3 linked regions of the Kluyveromyces lactis genome follow. The protein of the gene in region 2 interacts with the protein of the main gene of each other region in a pairwise test. Links are inferred from orthologs where the notes say so. Each region holds a gene or a part of one and is shown on either strand. Other genes may lie near its edges.

Evidence for each region. The genes of interacting proteins can lie anywhere in the genome.
Region 1: the proteins of TRM112 (region 2) and TRM9 interact in binary tests that used the Saccharomyces cerevisiae proteins (3 or more experiments, as listed by UniProt). The link is inferred for Kluyveromyces lactis from reciprocal best matches to the Saccharomyces cerevisiae genes TRM112 and TRM9.
Region 3: the proteins of TRM112 (region 2) and TRM11 interact in binary tests that used the Saccharomyces cerevisiae proteins (3 or more experiments, as listed by UniProt). The link is inferred for Kluyveromyces lactis from reciprocal best matches to the Saccharomyces cerevisiae genes TRM112 and TRM11.

The regions. Positions count from the first base shown.
Region 1 is NC_006038.1:80,908-84,393, reverse strand, and holds TRM9 (tRNA (carboxymethyluridine(34)-5-O)-methyltransferase), read left to right. Parts: upstream 1-1,884; coding exon 1,885-2,730; downstream 2,731-3,486. Other genes in the region: GPI-anchor transamidase GPI17, read right to left, coding at 1-1,422; UBX2 (Ubx2p), read left to right, coding at 3,100-3,486. UniProt on the Saccharomyces cerevisiae protein: Required for the methylation of the wobble bases at position 34 in tRNA. Appears to have a role in stress-response.
Region 2 is NC_006039.1:1,637,034-1,640,281, reverse strand, and holds TRM112 (RNA methylation protein TRM112), read right to left. Parts: upstream 1,367-3,248; coding exon 968-1,366; downstream 1-967. Other genes in the region: KLLA0_C18568g (serine/threonine-protein kinase), read right to left, coding at 1-324; ERG26 (sterol-4-alpha-carboxylate 3-dehydrogenase (decarboxylating)), read left to right, coding at 2,793-3,248. UniProt on the Saccharomyces cerevisiae protein: Acts as an activator of both rRNA/tRNA and protein methyltransferases. Together with methyltransferase MTQ2, required for the methylation of eRF1 on 'Gln-182'.
Region 3 is NC_006039.1:1,091,495-1,095,521, forward strand, and holds TRM11 (tRNA (guanine-N2-)-methyltransferase), read right to left. Parts: upstream 2,071-4,027; coding exon 757-2,070; downstream 1-756. Other genes in the region: Rab family GTPase YPT11, read left to right, coding at 1-522; HRP1 (Hrp1p), read left to right, coding at 3,080-4,027. UniProt on the Saccharomyces cerevisiae protein: Catalytic subunit of an S-adenosyl-L-methionine-dependent tRNA methyltransferase complex that mediates the methylation of the guanosine nucleotide at position 10 (m2G10) in tRNAs.

The DNA.
Region 1 (3,486 bases), on a different chromosome or scaffold from region 2:
TGGCAAATAGACAGCAATCTTGTGTTCTTGTGGGAAGAATGTCTGTTGAACCATTTCTTTGTGGAAAAATGCACGCTCACATATTTTTACAAGTCTATTAGAGAGCCTTAATGCTTCGTTCCAGATTTCATCACTGCCAAGTTCGGGGTTGTTCAAAAGGTCCACGATCTGCAATCTGAGATTTAATGCATTGTTGACGTCTTCGAGAACTTCCCTTGGAATAGACATTTGTTGTAAATGATTCGTCATACTAACTAAAGAGGATAAAGTAGTGACACTTTTCTCCAAGTTATCAATAATGACTTTCCTCTTAAATGAGTCTATCCTAACTAATGGTGAGTTCATATCTTCAGCTACCTCACTCAATCCCAATAATTTGAAGATGTCGTGGGCAAAAGTTGAAATGACATCAGCAAGGTAGTCGTTTGTTATGTAAGCATTTGTTGGTAATGGATCTTTGTTTATCACAACAACACCCCACTGTGGTACTAAGAATGATTTCCAGTCAATACCATTTCCTGTCTCGTTGATAAAAGCTAAGGACCCAGTTTCAACTGAAGGAAAGACAATGGCTAGATTTATGGAATTTTGTTCCCGATAATGGTTCACGGAGAAGAGGTCAGACAAATCCAAAGTGTGAGAAAGATCATTCCAGGAAACGTATTCAGCGTTAGATAAAGAATGTAAATTCAAGTCGTTATGATACTCAATCCCTGTGTCAACGGTAAAGTTCACCAATGGAGAAAGGAGATCTCTAATTGGAGTGAAATATTCCCTTAAAGTAGCGTCAATATCCCAGGCAATAGGTTCCGCATCACCAGTTAAAAGGGAGATCGAGATATGGATGTTTGGGTCATAATTTACAGCCATGTTCCTGGATTTTGAGTCACTTTTAACAGAGTTCTGATGATATTTACTGAAATGCTCCCATTCTATCTTAAACGTGTGCTCTATTAGGGCCTGAGCGACGAAAAATGGAAGATCGTTGTTCACCAGGGATTCATCATTGAAAAATATAATAGTTTCTTTGGTCAATTGAGGTATCGTTAGTCCCATGGACTCATCCAAAACCAACTTGACCACATGATCGTTATTTGGATCTGTTTCGCCCTCTTTGAACGGTAGTATTTGCAACGACCACTGTACCTTTCTTTGGTGTTCATCAGCACTCTGTAATAGCTCATCCGCCTGTCTTTGAATGGCATCACATACATCAGGAAAGTTATATATATCCGATTGCACGTATACAGGGATAGTCAAATGGATATCTTCGTGGAGGTTTGCATGCAAACTCTCAATGTATTCTGCAGGTAGTGGTGCCCTGTATATGGTAGTCAATCTGTACCATAAAGGAACTCCAAGTAACACGTAGCAAAGCGCAAAGGATAGTGTTACAAGACGACGTAGAGTGACTGTACTCATCGTAAGGAAAGTTCAAAAAACACTGTATTCTTTTAGACTTGCTGTTGGGATCACGAATACCTTTGGAATAATTAGCGAAGTATTTTAGCCGAAACCTTCGAATGCTCTAATGAAATCAAGTTATCGACGAAACCTATTGCCGCAATTCCACTAGTCACTTTCCGATATACGCCTTTGAAGGAAAACTAATGGACGTTAGATATTAAGAAGCATAGCTTCTCTTGAATCGTTTCGAAATGTCGACTTATTTGTCGAACATTAATTTCAAATTGCATGGCTTAGTGTCTGTTTTCTGATTCGAACAACAGATATAACGAAAAAGTGAAAAAAATGGATAATGGCAGTATCAATGAGGTACAATACGTGCAAAAAGAATGAAGTTAAGATCACAGTTTCAGAGTATTTCTATATGCTCCTTAGATACAGCTAGACGCAGTGTAGTCTGTGGGGTTTTCAAATATAATGGCTGAATTGAAGGAAGAAGAATACGTGCACCAAGTGTACAACGATATTGCTCCGCATTTCTCACAAACCAGATATAAGCCATGGCCAATTGTATCGGAGTTTTTGATGTCTAGAGAGATGGGTTCTATCGGTATTGATGTTGGCTGTGGAAATGGGAAGTACCTTGCTGTGAACCCGAATGTTTTTATTTTAGGTTCAGATAGATCCTCGGGGTTAATTACGTGTGCACATGATATCAATTCACAGTACAATGTTCTAATTGCAGACGGGATCAAGCTACCTCATCGCGATAATACTTTCGATTTCGCTATATCCATTGCGGTGGTGCACCACTGGTCGACCAGAGAAAGAAGAGTTGGAGCCATAAGACATATCATCAGCAAAGTAAGACCCGGAGGAGAAGTTTTGATTTACTGCTGGGCATTGGAACAAGGTGATTCTAGAAGAGGGTATCGAGAGGGTATGGAACAAGACGTTTTAGTACCGTGGGTTTTACAAGATCAGAAGAGGGATACGGAAATTGATGAGAAATCTGGTAAAAAGGGCAAAATACAAGTCCCCAAGCCAGATTTATCCACCGTTCCTAAACATGAAAGATCTGAATTCTTGAACAAATGGAAACTAGAACAGGAAGCTCTCAGGCTAAAAAGAGAGCAGGAAATAGAGGAAGAGCGCAAGAAGCTCGAAAAGGAGACAAAATCCAACACGAAGTATCGTTACTACCATCTATATCGCGAGGGGGAACTAGAAGAGGATTGCCAAATGGCCGGAGGAATAATAGTTGGACAAGGTTACGAAAAGGATAATTGGTACGTAGTTGCTAGAAAGCCTGGCAACCCTTAACGATTGCTAATATAATATATAAACAGCATAAATATTACATCGAAATATACTTTTATAGACAACAGCTAGTACTCATTGCAATTTCTTTGTTTGGTTTATTAGTGTTTCTTACGATATTCTGACGGTGCACTAAATTTCTGTTTCGTTCTCATGAACATTTAACGAAAAAACGGGAAACTTTAACAGGCAGGCCAACTTAACCAGAAAAGTGCAGGAGGATATAGATTCGAGTTTACTGATAAGCTACATTAACTATACTGCATATATTAGCTGTGAATGTATAAAATTGACAACCCAGTATTTTTGGCATTGAGATCCGAATTAAAGTATATCTGCTTGAGCGTACTGTGATTTGTAACGAACCTTAAAATGCCAGTAATTGAACATAATGATCAACGATTTGAACTCTCCCACTCAGAAGAGCAAAAGCTCAACGAGTTTCAAATGATAACGTCTTTCCCCACTGATGAATTGCCTAATGTTATAAAGCTTCTACGCAATCATTCTTGGCAATTGGAACACGCTTTGGGTAGATATTTCGACGACAATTGGAAAGAAAATCTAGACTTTGCACCACAGCCTACACCCGCTCAAAACACAATTCCTGTCCAACAATCACAATCTGATGAGCGCCAGATCCTGGAAGATACGCGTTCAGAATTACCAATATCACTGAGAATCCCAAACATTTTGGAGAACCCGTTTGGAATGGTACCTAAACTACCCTTTATTCACAGATTACCATACAATTATAAA
Region 2 (3,248 bases):
CAACTTTGACGAGTTTCCACTTGCAGCCTTTTCTGCGGGAGCGCCTTCTTGTTCTATGGATTCGCGAGATACGGGTTTCGCCTCTTGAAGTACAATAGCAGGTGCTTCATGCAAAGAAGCATGTAACATTACCGGATGGCTGTTAGATGCTTTTGTGTTACCTTCGGAGGTTTCAGAAGGCTGTTGCTGCTGTTGCTGTTGTTGAGGTTTCCATATTGATTTCGGAATGAATTTAGACAAAGAAGCCATACTTCTAGACCGTTCTCTTGCAGCCCCTACTTCATGTTGGTTGAGCTCAACTTTATCAAGCATCACACCATCCATGGTAAATAATTCAAAGTAACACTTTAGTATCAATAATCAACTCGTGAGAAATACCTCTATTGACAAAAAAGACTAACCCGCAAATTAATATCACTATAAGTTTTGGTCAACAAAACCCCACAGAGTATATGGCTTTCAATGATTATTATATCAGGCTCAAAAGAAACAGCAAAATACAAGTAAGTACCGGTGCTGTAACAGGTGTTAATATAAAACTGATAGAAACAAACCGGATTGAAAAGCCTGGCAAAATATTTAACCGAAGAAAACGTGTATTCACGGGGCGTTTTAAGACAACCTTTTATTCGTGTTAGCAAAGTACTCAATAAAACTTACTTCCTACAGCTCTAATACAATAAAATAACGAAAATTATGCGAAGTACGGTGCATCCTGGATTTTATTTTAACACTCTTTACTTAATTAAGAATCATTCCTGGCTGGATTAAAACCCTCTTTTTTTCGAACATACAAACCTTGTTTTCTCTCCATTTCTGGATTTTCATCATGGTGGCTCTTCAACAATGTGGGCCTTTTGATTGTCAAAGCCTCGTCGTCAGCTGATATAACACGTGACCTGAAATTATTCTTTATTAAGCTAGAAAGTTCACTGTATGTACATATATAGATGCTGGATTTGAATATTCATGCTAGATGTGGTGGTAGAAGGAGGTTTGGAATGCTGTTTTTTATGTAGTATATGTGTTCACAGTTTTTGCATTGCATTTGTCCCTCTACAATGTTAGTTTGAATTAACAGTGTGTGCAGATCTCTTAGAATGACCATGTCCTCATCCGTTAAATTCTCTTCAAATTCTGGTTTGTTGGGTGGTAGCTCAGTATTTCCTAAATCTGATGCTACTGAAACTACAGCTTGCCAATCAACACGGTCAATTATTCTTAAAAGGAACTCCGGGTTGAATTCGATGCTCTCATCCTGTTCTAGTTGACAATTTTCACGAACGTAGCGAAGTGGGAAATTCAGGTTACTGTTATCGCATCCTTTCACGGAACATTTAAGGAAGTTTGTAGTTAGGAATTTCATATCTGCAGTTAGTTTAATGGGTCGGGTATAATTCGATTCACAATAACAAAATGATGCTGATTTTATTGGGACTCACTTCATCTCATCGCATTAACAACTCTGTTCGAATTCATTGATAATTCGATTTTTACGGTTTTTAATTTTTCATGTTACAGAAATGAAAAGAAAAGATTCCCATGCCAGAAAGAAGCAGGGTATGCATATGAAGAACAATATGTAAGTATTATAATCTTCAATATCTGATTCATTCCTACCTAACGTTAACACTCCAAAAATTAAATCAATCTTGAGGCAGACAAGCATGCTAATCGTTTCACAGACATTTTTTTAAATTTTTTTTATTTTCTTTGTTGAGATTATTCTTGTAGATATTATCCTGTCACATTGAGCATATGAATCAAAGCTACTCTTAAAATAACAGAAAGGAAAAGCCATGTATCCGTAAAAAAAAGAGAGGCATTGCTCTAGTGTTTTTTCGGATCTCAGCAAACATAAAAAGATGGCTCCTATCCTTTTTAGAGCTTTAAGCCAATTTCACTTCTTATGCTTAAGCAAAATACCATAAATAAATTAATTTTCGGAAACTAAAATTTTTCAAAACATATATTTTATTTTAAAAAATTCAAAATTCCACATTATTTTAATTAAAATTTTTTCAATATAAAATTAATAAAAAAATATTTTTAATTGCAATAAAGTAAAAGTTTAGAAATTTATTTTATATAAAAAGAGAGAAAATGTAAAATTTGATTTTAGTCACATGATGTTTTATGATTTTACTTAATTTTTGAATACATTACGTACGACAGACTCCACTGTCAAGAAGTTGAGCAGGTACTATAATCTTCGTTCCTGTTTATGCGTTTTTACTATTTATTTGAAGGTAGAACTGTTATTGAATGCTAACATTTGTGTTACTTTTGATTGATTTTAGTGAATTTTGCTTTATTTTATAGAATTTAATTATGTTTTTTGTATTTTTTTGAAGAATTTATTTTAACTTATTTTTTATTATTTTCTGAAAATATTTTTTTTATTTATTCTATTTATTATTTGCCATTATCTAAGGATTCTATTGCATATGGACAATTTGTATGTACAAATGAACTAATTAATTGTATGTTAAAGCAAAAATACAACTCTGGCTTAACAACACTCTAACCACTAACAGATCAAGAAACCTAAATTATTGTGATCATTAAGTATAGGAAAGGAGAAACCAATGGCTATTAATTAGTACGTTATCTTTCTATCCGACCATTTCACAATTTGGGAGACACTTTAAATTTGTCGTTTAGTTCTGTTTTAATATTCAGAAAAAAAAACAATTAGAGAATATTAGTTAACGTTAACACGATATTCAAGATCACACCAGGCAAATCGAATTCTTATCATACGTTGAGTCTACGTAAAACAAACAACTACTATGAGTTCAAGCGATGTTAAATCTGTACTACTAATTGGTGGATCTGGATTTCTAGGTCTCCATTTGATTCAGCAATTTTCTGAACTTAAACCACAACCTCAGATCCATGTTTTTGACGTAAGACCACTTCCAGATCGGATCTCAAAACAATTCACTTTTGATCCTTCGACAATTACCTTCCATCAAGGTGATCTAACGTCACCTGCTGATGTTAGAAAGGCAATTGAGACAAGTGGTGCCACGATCGTCGTTCACTCGGCATCTCCAATGCATGGTAATAGTCAAGAGATTTACGAAAAGGTCAACGTTAAGGGAACAAAAAATCTATTAACTGTCGCAAAACAATGTCGAGTTAAAGCAGTAGTATATACCTCATCTGCTGGTGTTATTTTCAATGGTCAGGACATTCACAATGCTGATGAAACTTGGCCAATTCCAGAAGTTCCAATGGATGGT
Region 3 (4,027 bases), about 550 kb from region 2:
GGATCTAATGGAGTGATTTTAAGTTATGATATATGTGACTTCAATAGTTTCCTGAATTGCTTGAACTTCTGGTTGGTTGAATCCATTGAGAATATTCCTAATTTGAGCATGACACGGTTTTATCTAGTGGGGAACAAACTCGATTTATATAAGGAAAGGAAAGTTACGCATGAAGACGTACTTCAGTTCATTTCCAGGATTGAGAAAGATTATAATATAAAAATATCAGGTAACTTTGAAGTTAGTTGTAAATGGGAGAATGTGGTAGAAAGGACATTCAATATTATTATTAAAGATTTGGTAGAAAGCGGGTGTTATGAGGATGACAGAGAGCTTAGAGTAATTTCATCAGACCAATCAGAAGATAGTGAAAGTAGTTTGGAGGATATTCCAGGCACTCCCCGTGGCGTGCGACAGAGATTAATGAAGAATAAATCCAAAACTGTGGATTTGAATAAACCATTGAATAACCAAAACGACGATGGTTCAAACCCAGGCTCCACGAGTTCCTGCTGCACTTAGTAATGAATTTCAAGTTATAGCGTCATGATACCAAGTATTGGCAGTGGAAGATGATATGCAAGGAATATGTATAATATTGTATAATATTGTCAGTCATTGTAACTTTGTGTATAATAAATGTAATAATATCGATTTTATAAATATTAATTTGTATTTTAACTAATGATACATATTATAGTGTAATGCTAGAGTGAGCAGATGTCTATTATTAGCCTTATATCAGGTCCAATAATATCAATTGAACCCGCTGAAGTATCTATCTCTGAAATTACCAGTTCTACTCAAACCAGAATTGTTGGGTCCATTAAATTCGTGTCCTCTATTGATATACACCAATAATCTTCTAGACCATTTATTGAAATCTTGAACACAGTTATACTTCAGTTCCAAATTCGAATGAAGAGGAATTATAGTTGCAACATTCTCGTCATTGGCAGTGGGCATCCAGAAAGCCAATCTACCATTAATGGGGAGTCTTTGACTTGCGTAATCCAACAAATCGTCTAATAGGGAATCTAAAGAGTACGGTTTTTTAGTTGGAATATAGTCTCTAAGTAGATAAGCTTTTTGACCGTTAATTTCCACATCCTCTTTCCCAGCAAATCTCTCCGGATCCTTTGCTCCAAGAACTTTAATCGATTCTCTAATACCGTATGGAGGATCACAAAGGATCGTATCAATGACAAAGTCCTTTCTCAATGCATTATGCGTAAAATCCATTGTCATGACGTCCAGGAATTGGATAGACTCTTTATAATACTTGAAATTTGCCTTGATAGTTTGTTGTCCCTTCCCTCTGATCATCCTACCATCAATATCAGACCCTAAGACAAGAGCACCATAATGGCCACCAGCCACCAGGAATGAACCAGTACCAACGAATGGATCATACATTATATGTGCTGGTTTTACCTGTGCAATATTTGCACTTACCAGTGATAATTCAGCTTCAAATGATGTGGTTCCTTTGTAAGGTCTCTTTTTCAAGTCATACTTCTCTAGTGCACCCCGTGCACGATCGCTTAGTTGAATTAACCTTCCGAAATAGATCTTTTCTGGAACCTCACCCCCGATATTTTCGCTGATAGCTTTGTATTCTTCAATAACCGTAAAAACTTCATCCGGATTTTTCATTTTGATGGGTCCCTTCAACTCAAGGTACTGGAAAGATTCAATGGTTGTCACTCTCGTAGAAATATCCTGTTTCGCGTTACCACCAAACTTTTCAAATTCAAACTTGAAACTCTTTCTTTCATTTGCGCTCTTATACTGTTCAAACTCGGGATGAGCTTGGACACTCTTGTGCAACGACTCATAAGTATTACCTTCACCCCAGTACTCATAAATGGCTCTTGTAAGCACCGATCTCCTAATCCAATCACTGGCTTGCTTATCATTTTCCAAGGTAACTATCATGAATGGTGAATCGACAGAATAACTCGAAAAGTCGACATCAACTCCATGCAGATCCGCTAGTGATTCCAATTCTGCTAGACGGAAATTTAAGTGCACCTGCACCATAAACAAAAGATACCGCTTCCTAGCCATAGATGATGGTTATAACTGGCGTTTGTATTAATTCTAAATCCGGAAGTACGAAAAGTGATTAACTGAGAAGTCGCACTTTCGATTAAAGAGGATCTCATCTCATCGCAGCTCATCTCGATATTTCGCTTTCTCTGCATGTTTAGCTGAAGTCGGCGTTGAATGAGTAAAGAAAGGTATATAGGATTTCATTACCCGGTGTTTCTGATTGTTTGGGCGCAGTTTTGGGACGAGTTGTCAAAAAGTTTCTTTTTTTGCAAGGCGAAATCGACAAAATGACAACCAAAAAGGCCCTAAAGCATGAATTTTTCACTAAGAACAGCGAATAATTTTTGGGGCCAAGTTGTTGCCATTGGAAAAAAAAAAAAATTAATTTGAATATAAAAGCAGTACAGGAGAAAAATTGAAGGGGCAGAATGTTTCTTCCTGTTTGTTTACCACTTTCCAGGTGATTAGACAGTCTAAAGAGATAATCAAGTCACTAAAACGAGTTAGGGAAGGATATAGGATTCAAAAGTATAGAAGTACCCGTATATCATTAGCGAATCGAAATAATCAACGGAACAAAGAATATTTACACTGTATTTTTTCTTTTTCTTTTCATTTATAAGATACCGATTGTTTTCAATAGAGTTTTAGAAATTGCAAACTAGGAGAGAGGAACCATTGTTACCGGAAATAGCTCATATTTGTTTTATTTTCGTACTGTATTAGATCTCAGTTATTACTTTATTATCGTCTACTACTACTTTTAACGTATAACATTAAACTTTGCTGTGTGTTGCTGTGTTTAAGCTATAAAATCCCCATACAGACAAAAAGAACAAGGATCATTTAAGTAGAGCGGAAGAGGAACGGCGCAGGAAACTTACACAGCGTTATCGTACTTATATTTACAAACGTTTACTGCAGATTTATCATATTTAGTGTACAGAACTAAGAAAATCCAAGTGGTAAAGTGAACGGTGCAACAAGTAGACGAATAAGAAGAAATTGAAATATTGCATTCAAGATGAGTTTATCAGACGATGAAGATTTTAACGACATCTACGGTGATGAAAATACCGCTCAAACCACGGTGAACAATAACGAGTCGACTTCATCAACTGCAACATCTACAGATAATCAAAATAATACTCAAAGTAATAATAATCAAAATAACGTTAGTAATAGCTCGACAGATGATCACAAAGATCAAGCTTCAACTACCAATAAAGAGGCTAATAGTAGTAGCACAAACACCACCGCGGCAACATCTCAATTAGATCAACTAGCAGCTTTACAGGCTTTGTCATCTAACCTGTCACAACTGCAACAGCAGGTTGCCTCTTCAAATAATCAACCAGATTCTAATCTTGCATCCAATAATGACAAGGCTGAAAACAATAACAAGGAAAACTACAGTGCTTCCGTTCCTGAAATGCTGCAGATGCCTCAAATGCCACAGATGCCAGGTATGCCAGATATGTCACAGTTGCAACAATTGCAACAGACTATGTCTCAATTGCAACAAACTGCATCTCAGCATGAACCAAAGGCTATCAAAGCTGATTTGTCTCGTGACATTAACAAGATGTTCATTGGTGGTCTAAATTGGGAAACCACCGAAGAGGGTTTACGTGATTACTTCAGCAAATACGGTGCAGTCGCTGAAGTTAAGATTATGAAGGACACTGCTACCGGTAGGTCCAGAGGTTTTGGGTTCTTGACATTTGAAAACGCTTCTAGTGTCGATGAAGTCGTTAAAACACAACATATCTTAGACGGTAAGGTTATCGATCCAAAGAGAGCCATTCCAAGGGAAGAACAAGATAAGACTGGTAAAATTTTCGTTGGTGGTATTGGTCCAGACGTCAGACCAAAAGAATTTGAAGAATTTTTCTCTCAATGGGGATCCATCATTGATGCCCAACTAATGTTAGACAAAGATACTGGTAGATCTAGAGGCTTTGGTTTCATT